Elephas maximus indicus: one gene and its partner. The protein of the gene in region 2 purifies or fractionates together with the protein of the main gene of each other region. This does not show direct contact. Links are inferred from orthologs where the notes say so. Each region holds a gene or a part of one and is shown on either strand. Other genes may lie near its edges. The genes, in order: CEP170 and INAVA.

Region 1 (7,850 bases), on a different chromosome or scaffold from region 2:
AGTAGATAATAGAAGAAAATGATAAATCACAAATCACTAAACACAGAATTTTTAAATACACTGATATTTGCATTAACAAGTATGCAGAATGTATGCTAATGTCTACAGTGCAATTGAGAGAAAACATGCAGATTTACTTATTTTCACACACAATTTTAAAACACTGAAATTTATCAGTAAAATATATTTAAAGTCTAATTTAATTGTGCATATGGGATTTAATTACAGACTACTTTTTTAAAACTAAGTCGAAATTTAAATGAAGTATTACTAAATTCTAAAGAAAATATGTTTATAAAAATCCAATGTGGGAATTAAAGGATAAAAATTATGAGGCAACATAAAAGGATTAATGGCAAAATCAACTCAATAAAAAAGCTTAAAATTTTGAAAAACAGTCCAACATGAATTTTTTCACAGTAGGTAACTTCTAACTTAAGTTAAAAATATTATAATCCATTAATCAAAGAAAAATGAACTTAATAGGTTTTTCTTATGTGACAGTTTTAGTTTTAACACAGTTTGCAGAACTGATCATACTATAAAATGCTATTGAATACCAAGAAATATATTAAAACATGGTCGCTAATTCCAACAGTCTCTGTCTTTATGAAAAACCGATGTTAAGGCATCTTTCCTTATACCAATAAGTTACTTTAAAAAACTAAGTTCCATTTCAGCAGAATTGCTACTTTCATCACAAGGAAAAAGGACTAGATTAATACAACTGGAATACCAATGAACTTGATTCTTAAGAAACAGTCGAAAAAGCATGTAGAGAAGGTATCCATAAATCTTCACAGCGTAGGAGTACTAGGGTTAGAAGACAAGGCACACAGGAAACAGCACTCTGCAGAACAGATCGTGGTTTTATCCGGCTCTGCCTTCCATTAGCAGTTTGGCTTGGAGACAAGTCAGTTAACTTTCAGACTTTTAGTGTTTCCCTCAGTCAAGTGAAGGAACCCTGGTGATGCAGTGGCGAAGCACTAAGCTGCTAAACTAGAGGTTGGCCATTGAAACCCACCAGCTACACTGTGGGAGAAATATGTGGCAGTCTGCTTCCGTAAAGATTTACAGGCTTGGAAATCCTATGGGGCACTTCTACTCTGTCCTACAGGGTCCTTACGAGTGGGAATCCATTCCACAGCAGTGGGGTTTTTTTCTTTTTTTTCTGTCAAGTGCACTCAGACTCTTCTGTTTTAAAATACCAAAATTCTACAGTATCTACAAAGTTGGAAAGAACAAGCAGCAGCCCTGGGGAACATAAAATAATGGCAGAAAAAACAAAATTCTTGTAACCTGCCATTCACCAATATAATATTTCCAGAGCTGAACTCTGAAATCTTTGAAGCATGCCTGTAACTTGGGTTCTATCAGTGAAGATCTAGATACCGTATTCAGAATGTAACTCTCTCCCACAATCTTACATTTTTCCTCCATCTGCTCCTCCCCACCCTGCTTCATTCTCTCTTCTGCTAATCTTAAGTAGAAACGCCCGCAAACGTTGTAAGCTTAACGATCAAATCATCTTAAAAGATTTTTTCCCAATCACATATTATCTGCTTCACTATAATTCCTCCCAAATGGGCGAAATTTCATTAAGAGAATGAAAAATGTTAACAAACGACTTCAGAAAGAGGAAATATACCAGGCCTCTTTTTTTGTTTGTTTGGCTTTGTTTTGAGTTCTTAAAAAAATGTAACGGAAAGATGTGTCCAAATCTATTCTCTTAGGAATACGAATACGTTACCCACCCAATGAAAAAACAATTCTGCTGGTTCATTTCCCTGCTACAAACAGCTGCATTGTCAGTCCCTTCGTAGCCCGCTCTTCATCTAGTAATTTCATATTGATCACCTTGGCAGCGTTTGGGCTCCAGCAGCAGGCACAGTCCCTGCTATTCAGGACCTTACATTCTTCAAATAAAACTCAACTAAACACCCAAAGCAGATTCTACGACCTAGACTACACTTCTTCCCGCCCTGTGTTAGGCAGATATTTATTTATTTTTTTCCCCTTGCATAAAACGAAGGGGACCATACCAAACCCTACACTTGGATTTCAGGACAATGAAACCGACAGGAAGCCACTCTCTCCTCCCCCGGGTTTACTATGGAGCTGGAGCCTACGCGGTTGACATCGCCAGGCGGGGTGCGTGACACCACGTCTTCCACGCCCTCCAACTGCGTCCAAAAGGGCTCCTCGCTCGACCTCCCCCAACCGTCCCACACCCCAAAACCGACCACACGAAAAGGACCGGCTCTGTCCGCTGCCCCAGCAGGGCTGCGGATCTGGGAAAAACCCCCTCCCCGCGCCAGCGCAGCCATTCCCTCGGGCCCTGCGTCCGCACCCTCCACAAACCGCTGCTGCTACGGGGGTGGGGGTGGGGGTCGGGGGTCGGGGGTGCACCGCACAAAGCCGGCGGGGGCGCTGGAAACGACTCTAGACGTTTAGGGGAAGAGAGGCAGTGGCCCGGAGAAGGCCGGGCTGGCGGCACGACAGGGGGACCGGTGCGGGGGACCCGGGGTGGCGGACCCGGGGTGGGGGACCCGGGGTGGGGGATGGGAGGGGCGGGGGACCCGGGGCGGGGGATGGGAGGGGCGGCCCCGCCGAGCCCCTGAGGCGGGCGCGGGGCGGGGTGGCGGCGCCGCGCGGAGCATCCGGGAAGCGCCCCCTTCGCCTCCCGGCCCCGCACCCCGAGCCCATGCCGCAAACCCGAGGCTCTCCCAGGAAGAGGAGGTGGAAAAGCGGCGGCGGCGGCGACATCAGCAGCGCCGAGCCAGAGCAGCCGAGCGCATCACTTACCCCTGACTGTGGCGAGAGGGACCGGACGGTGGAGGCGGGGCGCGTCGCGTCCCGTGAGTCTTTCGCACGCCGTCCTCCTCCCACCCCGTCGTCGTTGTCGCTGTCGCTGCTGTCGAGCTCCGGGCCCCTCAGCTCCGCTGGGCAATAACGTTATTCCACACACGCCCCACACATAGCGGTAACGGCAAAGAGCGACCGGCTAGTGCGCAGGCGCCTTGGGAAAGGGCGAGGAGCCGAGCCCTATCCCCTCCTCCTGCCCTGTCCCAACAATCCCTTACTGCGCAGGCGCCAAGACAGACAATGAAAAGGGGCTGTGCGGAGGGTCTCACCCACACGCTATTTCAGCTGCCCACTGCGCAGGCGTGTCCCAAGAACATCTCGAACAATGAACACGACCCAGGCATTCGCGGAACCGCAACCAACAAGGACTACAGTTCCCAGCGAGCAGTGCGCTAACGCCAACGGGAGGTCGGGTCGCCGGGCAAGCTAGGATTTGTAGTGTCGGCCGCCTTCACAAGCTAGACTGTCTAGGCTGTTCGGAGATATAGAGCTTCTTTTTCTTGAGAATTGATTTGGCCTTTGTGACAAATTTCAAGGATGAAAAGATTCAGAGCTTGTCATTTGAGTCCTTCAGAAGCCTTAGAGGTCAGCCGCGTATTAGAACATTTCGAAGACTCCCAAGGCCGACCGTGAAATCTTTCCGTCAGTTAGGTGGTCCAGACAGAAGGATGGCATGAAGGCCGAGCTATAGGAAAAGGGCGGGGCCTCCAAGCTGTTTCTTGGCAACCGGCTCTGGCAACCGAACCGCCGAAGTTGCTCCTGGAGCGCGGTGTTCTCTGGGAATTGTAGTGTAGTTGGAAGGGCTTAGTATCTCGAGGCTGGAGGTCCTGAGCCTGTGGACTACCACTCCCGACGTCCACCATTAGGGCCAGTGGGTGGGAAGAGCCCCCACGAGCTCCGTCCCGGGTTCCAAGCTCCCCAGTGACAGCAGCTGCAGGAAGCAGGCGGGCCCTCCCCAGGCGGTAGGCCTGTTCTCTGAGCGGAGCCCTCTGGACACGTCCCACTTAACTCCCATCTTGGGCCCCGGGTCCGGGCATGGCGAAGTCCCCAGGGAACTCTGCCGTAGAGGAGATTCTAGGGCAATATCAACGGAGCCTCCGGGGTGAGTTGCTCCGAACCTCTGTGCCCCAGCCCCTTGGTACCCAGGGCCTCGTGGACGGGAACTGACCAGATGCGTTTCCTGACACCTTGGTTAAGCCCCAGCCTGGCTGTATAGGAAGGAGATGGGCGTTGCTCTAATCTTTAAGGAAGGATGAAATCGTATGAGTTTGTTTGACGGTTGAGCGGCGTTGCTTCCCTTGATTCCACCCGAACCAACTCTCTGATCCTGATTTAGGCATCTTTCTCAACCAGTGCCAGCAGAAACTTGTGGACAGCTCTATGTCACTTTTGCCCAGTTCTCATACTTGGCTCTTTAATCCAATTAGTTTCTGATTCACACTTTTTACACATTCAAATTCTGATTTAGTAAGATGAAAGTGATTTATTGGATGGGGGAAAAACAATAATAATGGTTTTAATCGAAATAGCTTCTATTTAGTGGTCTAGGCTATTTACATACATTAGCTCATTTAAAACTTACAGTAACTTTATGATTATTCCTATTTTACACATGGGAAAATCGAGGCTCAGAGAGGTTTAATTACACGCTAAAGGCCACACGGCTGGTTACTGGCAAAGCCAGAGATTGAATTCAGTCCTGTCTTCCTTCAAAGCCTGTCCTTTTGTTTGTTTGTTTTAATCATGTCACAATCACTGTTACTGCAACCTTATTCATTTAATTCAGATTATTTTAGTACAGTTTCCCATAAGTGAGTATCTATGGAAGTGATGGTCATATTTGTAGTAGATGGCTCTGCCATCTTGGACAACTTATATAACCCTAGAAAGCTCAGTTTTGTTTTTTTAAAGTAGAGGTTGATGTATTGTCTACAGGGTTAAATGTGAGGAGCAAACAAAATAATCCATGTAAAGCAGAAATTTTCCTACTTGTTTTTCCATGGTACCCCAGGGTAAGAACTACATTTTACGTGGGACGTACACATGGGGCAAATATAACAAATATCGCTAAAGAAAACTTATTCTATTACGTGTAATAGACGCTATTTTCCATTATGTTTCATTTGCATAACCCACAGTTGGAGAAAAAAAATTATTTAAACTATTTAGAACATTGACTCGTTTGGTAAATGTTCACTGCCTACTGTGTTTACACATGCTAGGTGCTGGGGACACAGTAAGGAACAAGCAAGGTCCCTTCCCCAATGGAGTCTCTGGAATAGTGGGAGATAAAGATGATAAAATAATTACAGATTATTATAATAGAAAATAAGGGTAAGAATCAGTGCTTGGCACTTAAGAAACAATCATTAAATGTTAGCTGCTATTTATACTTGGTCCTGCAACAAAGTGAAGATTTTTCTAGGAGATTACAAAGTTTATCTTCTAGTAACTCTAGACTTTATAAAGGTTATTTATTGTTTACAGCTGTCAACAATGTTACAACCTGTCGACATTCTCAATATTCAACCTAGAGGAGTAAAAGAATCAGTCTAATGATGTTTCAAGCATTGTTAGATATTTATATGATCACTTAAAACTTTTCGTTTGAAAGCAAGAAAAGTACTGCGCTGAATGAATGGTTCTGCTTAGTTTTTGAGGTTGGTAACATTTTTTGGCCTCCATAAAAGTTTCTCCTAATGCTTTTGACGTAATTTTGAGCCTTTATCCAAGCATTGGAAACTGTTTAATATTAGACATTTTGATACAGTAAAAGAGTTAATTGTAAATTAATGTTGCAGTAATATGCTACAGTGGTACTGCTTTCAGTAATCAAAGAGTAAATAATTTTCTTTTGAATGTAACAAAATTTAAAGTCATTTCATTTAATGTGATAACAAAATACTGAAAACATATAGCCAGAAGGCAAAGAATATAGTAAAACAGTGTTTAAATCCTACTTTTAACAGTGTATCAATAAACGGGACCTGAATTTATTGTGGGTTTTTAGGATTTATTTTATTATTTATTTAGTAGCATTTTTTAATTTTTATTTGTTTATAGCACAGCTTCTGTAAGGAAAGAAAACATAACTGACTCTAAACGTACCACTCATTTAAAGAGTTACTCATTGCCTTTGAGCCTGTTCCTACTCATAGTAACCCCACATGGCAGAGCAGAGCTGTTCCATAGGCCTTTCTTGGCTGTAACCATTATAGAAGCAGGTCACCAGGCCTTTCTTCTGCAGTGCCCCTGGGTGGGTTCGAACCATGAAAAGATAATGCCCTTTAAGACAGAAATTTGTATTCCCATATAAAGTATGTTAGAGTTATTTTATATGTGGCACTTCATTATTTTGAGTGTGCCTAATAATTTAAGAATTATGTTAGTATGCAATCAGATAAATTGCGGCTCGAAATTCGTTTGTCTTGTATTGCTTTTGTTGATTTATTTGGTTTTGTATATTCACCACTGTTTTCCCAAAATGCCTTGCCTAGTTCATGCTCAAAGGAAGGCTAATAAATATTCTTGGTCTTCCGTGACAATTATTTCTCTTTTATTAAATAACTGTACATGTCAACATTACTGATACTCCTTCATTTATGTTCAGCTAGGAAATAAAAGGGACCCCTGGGTGCCTCAGTGGTAAGAGCTTGGCTGCTAACCAGGAAGTCAGCACTTCAAATGCACCAGCCTCTCCTTGGAAACCCTGTGGGGCAGTCCTGCTCTGTCCTTTAGGGTCACTATGAGTCAGAATGGACGCGATGGCAATGGGTTTGATTTCCATTTTTTGATTAGGAAGTAAAAATGCTAAATGCTTTCGCAGTTTTCCATGATAGTTCTTCCATTTTTATAGATTTTCTTAATTACTTTAAATATAATTTTTTGTACTATTATAGTATTTTAAGATTTTAAAGCTCTGACGTGAAAAGCAGAGTCAAAGTTTACTTTTTTGCTTTCAAAACTTAAGTGGAATTTTTCCTCTCCTTGATTCTGACTGTCCTGGAACAACCATGGAAGCAGCATGCCCATCTGCAGATGCCATTTTCACCTCTCATCCTTTCCTTTAAACTTTTAAATGCAGTCCTTGTTTGACCCCTCAGAGAATAGCTCCTGGTTTGAGTTGTTTGTGGCCTCTCAGCAAGAAATTGGAGAGGTTCAGTGATTCTTCTTTGATATGAGAATTCTAGCAGAAAAACTTAGTTACCTCACAGTTCTGTAATATTGTACCGACATAATAAGTTATCTCAAAGTTTCCAGTGTGATTTAAAAAGAAAAAAAGTGGGCATATCCCAGGTGTTAATCTAGAGTTGGAAGTGATTTGGGAGGTCTCCTGGCAGTATATTTAGGTGTCGTTCACTCTTATCTTCAATTATAAGTAGTTATAATTCAAGGTACACAGAGTGGCTGAGAACTATATTAGTAACTGGGAAGGATAACAAATGCCCCTCCTCTAATTTAAATTCAATGCACCATTATATAAAGCTATGAGGTTTAAAATAAACTACTTTGGGGCCAAGAAGGGGTCAGAAAAGCAAGAATAACAGGCAATCCAGGATCTGGTTTTAAGTTCTGTAAACTTGAGTGTAGGAATATATTGGACTAGCTAGGAAGAGTCTGCCTTAGTCTGGAAGCTCAGCTGAAACCTGTGTTCCATGGATGACCCTGCTGCTATCTGAATACTGGTGGCATAGCTTCGAGCATCGCAGCAACACGCTAGCCCCCACAGTACAACAAACTGACAGGCACGTGGGAGCTAGGAAGAAGGACCCCGCAGTCTACTTCAGAAAAGCATTAGCCAGTGAAAACCTTATGAATAGCAGCGGAACATTATCTGATATAGTGCTGGAAGATGAGCCCCCCAGGTTGGAAGGTACTCAGAAGATGACTGGGGAAGAGCTGCCTCCTCAAAGTGGAGTAGACCTTAATGATGTGGATGGAGTAAAGCTTTCAGGACCTCCATTTGCTGATGTGGCATGACTCAA
Region 2 (7,994 bases):
AGGAACCCCAGAAGGCAGCAGGGGTCGTGCCCCCACAGTTGCAATGTGCTTATCTGTGAGGTGCCCAAGGGCCCTTTGCTCTGCTTCAGTCACTGCCCTCCTTGTACCTCAGCTTCCCTTTCCAGAAATTGAGGTATGCCAGTCCTCCCCCAAAGCAGGGCAAAAGGTTTATCGCCTATGGGGAATACCACCAGGGAACTGATAAACTGGCAGGAATGGGTCATTGCTCTCCCCCATACACTGAAATGGAAACTGAGAGCTGAGATTGCAGCTCCCAAATCGGGATTAGAAAACCTCAGGCAAGGCAGCAACCATGGGACTCTACATGGGGAGGCCCTGAGGACCAGAGGGCCAGGCTGTTCTTTTCTCTTTTTATCCCAGACATTTTCTCCCAGGAACATCAAAACCATCGCTTCCCCATTTTATTGTTGACAAGGTCTGTGGGGCACTAACCATAAGCCCAGGCCTGTCCCCTTCTCCACAGGAGGGCCACTGTGACCCCAGGTTCTAAGTCCCCAAACATGTGGGACCACAGCCCAAAATGGAACATGTTTCTCCAGAAAAAAAAAAAAAGCCCTCAGGTCTCCCACCCCTTTGACTCTTAAACAAACTGAAAACTGGAATCCAGCCTACTTCACAGTGGGGAAAGCAAGTCTGAGACTGCCCAAATCCAGCAGGCTGGAATTGGAGGCACCCTGTCCCTCAAGGTTTCATCCCACAACCTCTGTTCCTGCCACCTCCTGATTCTCCCCACCATGAACCCCACCTGCCAAGGTCTCAACCTAAGAGGCTGAGCCTCCCTGGGATGCCGGAATCTCAACATAGCTCTGGCATATTTCCGTCCCCACACCCCCCCAGTGCAAAGATAATGAAGTCTGCCCCCTTCAAGCATCATGGAAGAGCCCCAGTCTGTCCCCTTCCCTTTGGCAGCTCCCCCTTCCCACAGCACACCTTCGCATTCCTGCACACACCCTCTTTCCAAACAATGCTAGCTGGAGTTCTCCAGGCTGGCCACTGTTAGGGCCCCTCCTGTGGCAGAGAGCAGTGCTCAGGGTCTCAGCCAGCAGCCCTTCCCTTCCCCCAGCCCTCCACAACATGACAGTCCCTCCCCACCCCCCAGAGGTGCGGCACATTCTTTCAGTGTCACGCGGGGTGGGGGGGTCTTTCTGGGCATAAATGGCCCTTCCTCCACCTTGTCCACTCCCCAGCTCCTGGGGGGAGGAGGGGGAGGTGTGTGGAAGTTTCTGGAATTAGTGCATAACCTATTTTTAAATATATAAAATAAAATTCAGGGAACCACTGAAAGAGGCAATTATGTTGAAATACAGTTCTAAAAATAGAAAAGAGTGATGTATGTCTCTTTATTGACATTAAACAGGATCTAACAGTGGGTCTACTAACAACTGTAATGTTATAGAAGCAATAAGTTCAAACGAAATTTGGAGTATCTGCAAAGACTGCAATGTGATATGAAAATATCTGTGAATTCTATTAGTGGTAAAGTCACATACTGCCAGTGCTTCTGTGGTTCGTTGTGCAACGCTAAATTTCTGTTAAAAAGAAAAACAAAGATGTAGTTTTTTTCCATATGTATTTGCAAACCCTCTGATTTCTATCCACAGGTGCCTTGGTGCCCGTGGGCTGAGTTAAGAACCCCTGCCCACAGGTAATCCCTGGCTCCGTGCAGAGGAGAGAACTACAGATGGTCAACCTTACTGTTTGCATTGATCCTCTGGGATTCTCAATGACCCTTTGCCCCTCCAAATTCACACCCAGCATCTCTCAACACAGCAGAATCTGAATCTGAGATTTGGAATGGGACTGGCAAACCAGACCTCCCACCAAGGACCCCAGAGAGGCTCCATTGGATCTGGCCAAGTCATCCAACTCACAGTACCAGGGAGGTGGGCACTCCAAAGCTCACCTGGGGACTTGGGGCTCAAAGCCATACCCCCAGCCGGTCTAAGGGTCAGGGGACTAATGCCCCAGCCCCAAACATCACAGCATCATCACCAAGACCACCAGTTGGTGAAGAAGTGGTGTTTCCTTGCAAACCTTACAGTACTTGGAATCTGATCCAGAGCCTCCCCCAGGAAGAGGAAAAGCTGCATCTCTTTAGGGTTTTCATTTTCTAGGAAAAGTCCTGGATAAGGAAACTCTTCCACCGTTCTGTAGTCTAATTTTTTTTTTTTTCAAGTTCTTTCTTTAAGTCTTCTGACACACTAGACAGGAATACCAAAAATCCAAACCCGTTGCCGTCCAGTTGATTCCAATTCAGCGACCCTATAGGACTGAGTAGAATAGCTCCATACGGTTTTTCAAGGAGCGGCTGGTGGATTTGAACTGCCGGATTTTTGGTCAGCAGATGAACTCTTAACCAATGTGCCATATCCCCAATAAAAAACAAACAAACAAAAAATGCAAACCCTTTGCCTTTGAGTCCATTCCGACTCACAGCGACATCCCAATAGCATCCAGCAAAGAACTGTCTCTGGCACTGCCAAAATTTTACTTAATGAATTAGCGAATCAATGGTCACACTGCTGGATCCAACAGCGGAGGGCGGGGGGGCGGAGGGAGGGAGGGAGGGCGTTAAGGGAAATGTCCGGGGACCCTCCAGGCGCGGGTGGTGAAGGTGGTCCGGGAGGTGGTAGGTCAGTTTCTAACTGTTCTCTTTCTGGGCTCTCCTCCCTGGCCACAGGGAAAGGTGTTTGCCTCCAAGCGATGGTGGAGTTGGCTGGGTCAGAAAAACTCCACGCTAGCCTGGAATGCGCCCTGAAATCAGACCACCAGGCTTTCTTTAAAAAGCCCCTTTGTCCTGTCCACCCTGCTCCCCTCCCCCACGCGCCCTCCACGTCCAGGCCGGCCTGAGACTTTGCTCCTTTTGTTTGGCTGCGCTCTGGCTTCCCGGAACCTGGCCAGGGGATCCACAGGCATGGGAAAAGTTGAAGGAGAAAGGGTAAAGCGTTGGAAGTCTGCGTTTTTCATAGGCACTCAAAATTCCTACCACTTGGGTAAGATCACCCCATTTCCTGTAGGGTCCTCTCCACTACGGGTGAAGACCGTGGGTTCAGGGGCTTGATCTCCCTAGTTCACCGGCGCTGGGTCCCCCTAAGTTTTCCCCTTACCTGTCCCATGGAGCTCTGGCGCCGCCCAAGAGACCCAGCGGCCCCCGCTCCTGCTTCGCAGCTTCAAGACCTGTTCGTCCAGGCCATCTTCCCTCTCCCCGAGTATCCCCCCGATCTTCCCTCCCCGGAGGTATTTCATTTAACTTCGGCATTTGCAGCATCCCAAATGTTAAAGATCCCAAGACATCTGTCCCCTGGGGCATACCAAGAACCAGAGGAAAGAGGGGAAAGATAGAAGAAAGGATTCGAGATTCCGACCCAAGAGTCCCGACGGGACTGGATATTGAGTTAGTAAGGTGTTAGCAGGGTGAGTACGCCGTGGGGAGACCGACTTGAGGGAGCGGTTGTCCCCCTTCTCCCGCTTTCGAGCGCCGGGGTGGCCAGACACCCCCTGCGCTGCCAGTTTCCGCAGCCCGGGCGGGAGGAGGCTCCTCTCGCGGTCCGAGTGCCCCTTTCATCCGCGCGCTCCGGCCTGGCCGGGGGCAGTTTTCATTCCGGGAGACCCCCACGGTGAAAGAACGAAAGGAGCCGGGCCTGAGGGCGCCGCGCCCCTCCCCCGCAGCGCCCCTCCCCCGCAGCGCCCCTCCCTTCCACGACCCTTCCCTGGCCGTGCGCCGCAGTGGGCTGCCGAGCCGGGCGGGCTGGTGGCGCAGGGATCGCCTCCCCCTCGTCTGGCCGCAGGCTGTTCCTCTTCCTGGGGGCTGGCGGGCTGTCGGAAGGAGAGACAGCCCACTCCTGGTGAGCGCCTCCTACTGCTTCCTGCGAGCCAGCGTATCTCCGTCCGTCCATTCATTCATTCAGTCATTCAGTCACTCACACGTCCCTATTTTCATTTGTTCAATAAACACCGAGCACTTACTAGGGCCAAGCCCCGTCCCTGGAGGATGCCCCAATCTAGGCAAGTAATCAAGTAGCAACAGTATCGGTGACACGAAGGCTAGCAGCCAGAACAGGAAGAGGCAAAGCTGACCCAGGCTGAGGGACCGCCAAGGCCAGGAGGAGGCAGTGCCAGAGCTATCTGGGAGGTATGAGAAGGAACTTAAGGCCGCGGTGACCGATGTACAACAACACGGTGGCAAAAGAACAGGCAGGTTCTAGGAGCGGTGGGGAACTTAGGGTGAGGATGAGGAGGGAAGCGGGTGGAGGAGCTGAGACAAATGAGGCTCAACAGGCGGACAGGGGCTCATCAGAAAGCAGGGAGGCTCTGTGTGGTTGTCCAGGTTGTGCATCAGACCAAGGGAGAGGGGCGACAGAACCGAAAGCTCCCCCATGCTCCACCCACCAAGCTGTGTTCTTTGGCCTGAGCTGTGTCCACCAAGGGGGCAAAAAAATAACGGCTGCCAGCAAGTGAATTCTAGCTCATGGCGACCTCATGTGTTATAGAGTAGAACTGCTCCATAGGGCTTTCTTGGTTCACCCAAGCAGATCACCAGGCCTTTCTTCCTGGGCCCCCTGGGTGGGTTTGAACCACCAGCCTTTAGGTTAGTAGACAGCACAAGCCATTTGTGCCACCCAGGGACCTTTGTCTACCTAGAGTGAGTGCCTTTTTCTAATTGGTGCTAAGGCGCTACCTGAGCCTTGTTGGCTAGCTAAGGGCTTAAGATTTTATTTTGCAATGGAAGCCTAGCTACTCAAGAATGCTGATCGGAGAGATAACCTGGGCAGATTCACCTTTAGACGGTCACTCTGGTGTTGTATGTATGAGTGACTGGGTGGGGAGGGTTTGGAGACAGGGAAACCAGGGAGCTGGCAGTAATCCAGGTCAGGATTGTCAGGGCCTGAACTGATGTTGTGGCAGTGGGGTAGTGGGGGTTTGGGGGGAGATGAGTCAAACGCTGTTCAGGAGGTAGACCTGGCCTGACTCTGTAAGTGATTGCTTAAGAGAAGGGTGATGAGGAAGAGGGGAGATTTCAGACAACCTCCAGGCTTCTGGTTTGGGAGTTCAGCTTAAGATGTGTTCACTTTAGGGCATTAATGGGAATATCCAGCGAGCAGTCTGGTGGGGGCTTTAACGCACCTAGATGGTTGGAGAAAGGGCTTGGGAGTCATCAGAGAGTTGCAGCCCTGGGCTTGGATGAGATCACTCAGGAAGAATGTGTAAAATGGGAGAAGGAACAAGAGGAGAACTTTGGGGACATTTAAGGGATGGAACAGAAGACAAAGTGCCTTAAACGGTATCATTATTATGACTCGTGTGATGGAGTAATTGATTAAAATATTGATCTGTATTTTTTCTCCCATGGAGTCCCTGGGTGGCAAAAATTATTAAGTACTCAACTACTAGTCAAAAGGTTGGCAGTTCAAACCTACCCAGAGGCCCCTCAGAAGACAGGCCTGGTGATCTGCTTCTAAAAGGTCACAGCCTTGAAAATCTATGGAGCAGTTCTACTCTACACACATGGGGTTGCTATGAGTCAGAAGCGACTGAACAGCAACTAACGACAACAACATCCCTTCCTCCATGCCTCCCAGCCCTCCCCCCGTGGATACCCTCGCTCTGGGTGGGCGGCAGAAGCTTCCTGAAGGTGCCAGTCCAGAGCCCACCGAGAGGATGCCACGTATCCTGCTGGGCAAGGGCACGGGTGTGGCCTATGAAGGCCAGGAGGCAGAGAGGAGATGACCTGGGCTAACCTGGGAAGGAGAAAGACAACGGTCAGTGCCCTGAGCAGGAGGGACCCCAAGCACCACTCCACAGCAGGAAGGTGGCAAGGCGGGGATGAGAGTTGAGTCCCTGGGCCCCAGGCTTCCAGCCTTGACAGATTCCTGCATCTGAAATGTGTCCAGGAGGCAGGAGCCCCAGACTATAAGAGGTCCCTGGGCAAGGAGGTTGTCGACACACACCCTGCTTCCTGGACTATCCCTAAGCCATCAGGATTCTGCAGGAGGAAACAGAGTTTCTGGCTCCGCCCAGCAGCCTGAGGACCCATGACAAAATCAAGTTGATATAAAGGACGTAAAGTGACTCCTATGTCTTGTAAATCTGACTTTGTGGGCTGAGATTTGTAGCAATACTGTTACCTTCATTTACAGATGAGAAAACTGAGACACAGAGAAGCTAAATAACCAGTTTAGAGCCACACAGCTAGTAAGTGACTGATCTGGGATTTGAAGACAATTCTTTCTGATTCTGCAGCCTGTGAAAAACTTCAAGTATTTAAGAAGACCAGAGAGGTAAGGTAAAGAAGTAAGTATGTCAGGTAAATTGGTATTCCAGCAGTGTGCTATTTAGTTTGCAACATTTCAACTCATACTTGGCCTTGGTGTATACAGACAAGGGGAGAGGGTGAGCACAAAGGGGCAGGATGGGGACCTCAGGCAAATTAGAAAACTCAGGCTCTGTCTTAAGGGGGTCAGTCACTACAAATGCTGTCACAAGAAAAAGTTTCTGTTTTAAAAACAAAAGCTGGAAATCCAAATTTTTATGTGGAAATCACCTGAGTTGTATATTTGATTTTTTTTTTTTAATTCAAAGGAGTCAAACAACATGTGTCTACATCCCTCCAGCTGCAGTTTATGTCTTGCTCCACATCTCACAGCCTCTTGAAGGAGCTCAGAGCCTGGAACTTCGGGCAGGGAACCGGGGGCCTCTAGGAAGCTGGGACTTGAGAAGCAGGGGTCTTGGAATAGAAGCCAGAGCCCTCCCTGGGAACTTCCTGGCTCAGCTCATGGTTGGGAAGAAGAAGGTGCAAGTTGCTGGGAGAGGCCACTGCACCCCTTCCCACCCCGCAGGGTTGGTTCTCTCCTCCTCTCACTTTGGCTGAGAAGCAGGGTTTCTCCTTTTCCTGGAAGTGGCAGAGGGGTATGGGAAGAATTTTATGAGTTCTGCATCATGGAGAAGAAGGGGACCAGCCCTCTGGAGCTCCTGGAGCTTTGTGGTAGCTGGGTAGCTGTGTGTCTGTACCGGCACCTCCCACATGGCTGTAGAAGGGGGCTCACCCCAGACCTCTCCTGCCTGTTAGGCTCTGTCCTGGCCCTGCCGAGTGCCATATCCGCAGGCCCTCAGGTCCAGCTGAAGGCAGAACTCACTCTCCCCACTCTCCCTTCCCTTCCCCCTCACTCCCTGGACCGGATGAGCAGAGGGGGGTGATGCTCTGTGGCGCAGACAGTGCCCTGTCGGTGCCCTCGGCTAGGCGAGAAATGACTCGGCCTGCGACCCTACTTCCTCCCCTGACCGCATCCTGCAGCTCACAGCTGGGGGCAGGTGCTGGAGGGGCCACTGCCTGGTCGGCCTATGTCTCTGTCTCTGTCAACCAGAACCCTCTTGGCTGGGCGCAGGATGGGCTTCCAGCAGGTGAGCAGTGATGCGAGATGCATACACTCGACTTAAGGGGCCAAGGGTGGGGATGAGGTGGGGTGGGAGGGTGGAAGGGTGGGAGGGTGGAAGGGTGGGAGGGGTGGGTGGGAAGACACTAAGCAGCCTCCATGGGAGGGAGCCCAAGAAACTGGGATCATGGACACTGGGTCTGAATTGCTGCTTGGAGCACATGGAAGGCAACGGAAGACCCCCACACTGTGGCTCAGTCCCCTGGGTAAGATAAGATGAGAAAGGAACCCACTCCCCAAGACACACCCAGCATCCTTTTGGCAAGCAATTCTTGTTTCTAAATTCTATGAGGTCCTCTTCCAGAGTGTTAGATCTTCCTCTCATGCTTCTCTTTCATTTTTCCTTGGCTTTCTGCCTTCCCTTCTCCCCCTTCCTCCTCAGGGCATCTATCTTGGTCGCATGAAATTATAAGATTTCAGGGGCCACAGGGCTGTGCCCTGAGCGCTGCCTGTCACACATGGAGATGCTTTCCTCCCCTCGGTCTACTTGCACCAATTGTAGCTTGTTCTCCCCGGAGGGACCAGCAGGGGGCGTCAGTTGCT

The links.
Region 1: the proteins of INAVA (region 2) and CEP170 purify together in Homo sapiens (co-immunoprecipitation; 3 studies listed by BioGRID and IntAct, counting the BioPlex papers as one, with this or other methods). This does not show direct contact. The link is inferred for Elephas maximus indicus from reciprocal best matches to the Homo sapiens genes INAVA and CEP170.

Annotation. Positions count from the first base shown.
Region 1 is NC_064842.1:20,966,644-20,974,493, reverse strand, and holds the start of CEP170 (centrosomal protein of 170 kDa), read right to left. Parts: upstream 3,224-7,850; 5' UTR 2,806-3,223; intron 1-2,805. Other genes in the region: SDCCAG8 (serologically defined colon cancer antigen 8), read left to right, coding at 3,901-3,967.
Region 2 is NC_064836.1:9,348,941-9,356,934, reverse strand, and holds the start of INAVA (innate immunity activator protein), read right to left. Parts: upstream 3,373-7,994; 5' UTR 3,332-3,372; coding exon 3,129-3,331; intron 1-3,128. UniProt on the Homo sapiens protein: Expressed in peripheral macrophages and intestinal myeloid-derived cells, is required for optimal PRR (pattern recognition receptor)-induced signaling, cytokine secretion, and bacterial clearance.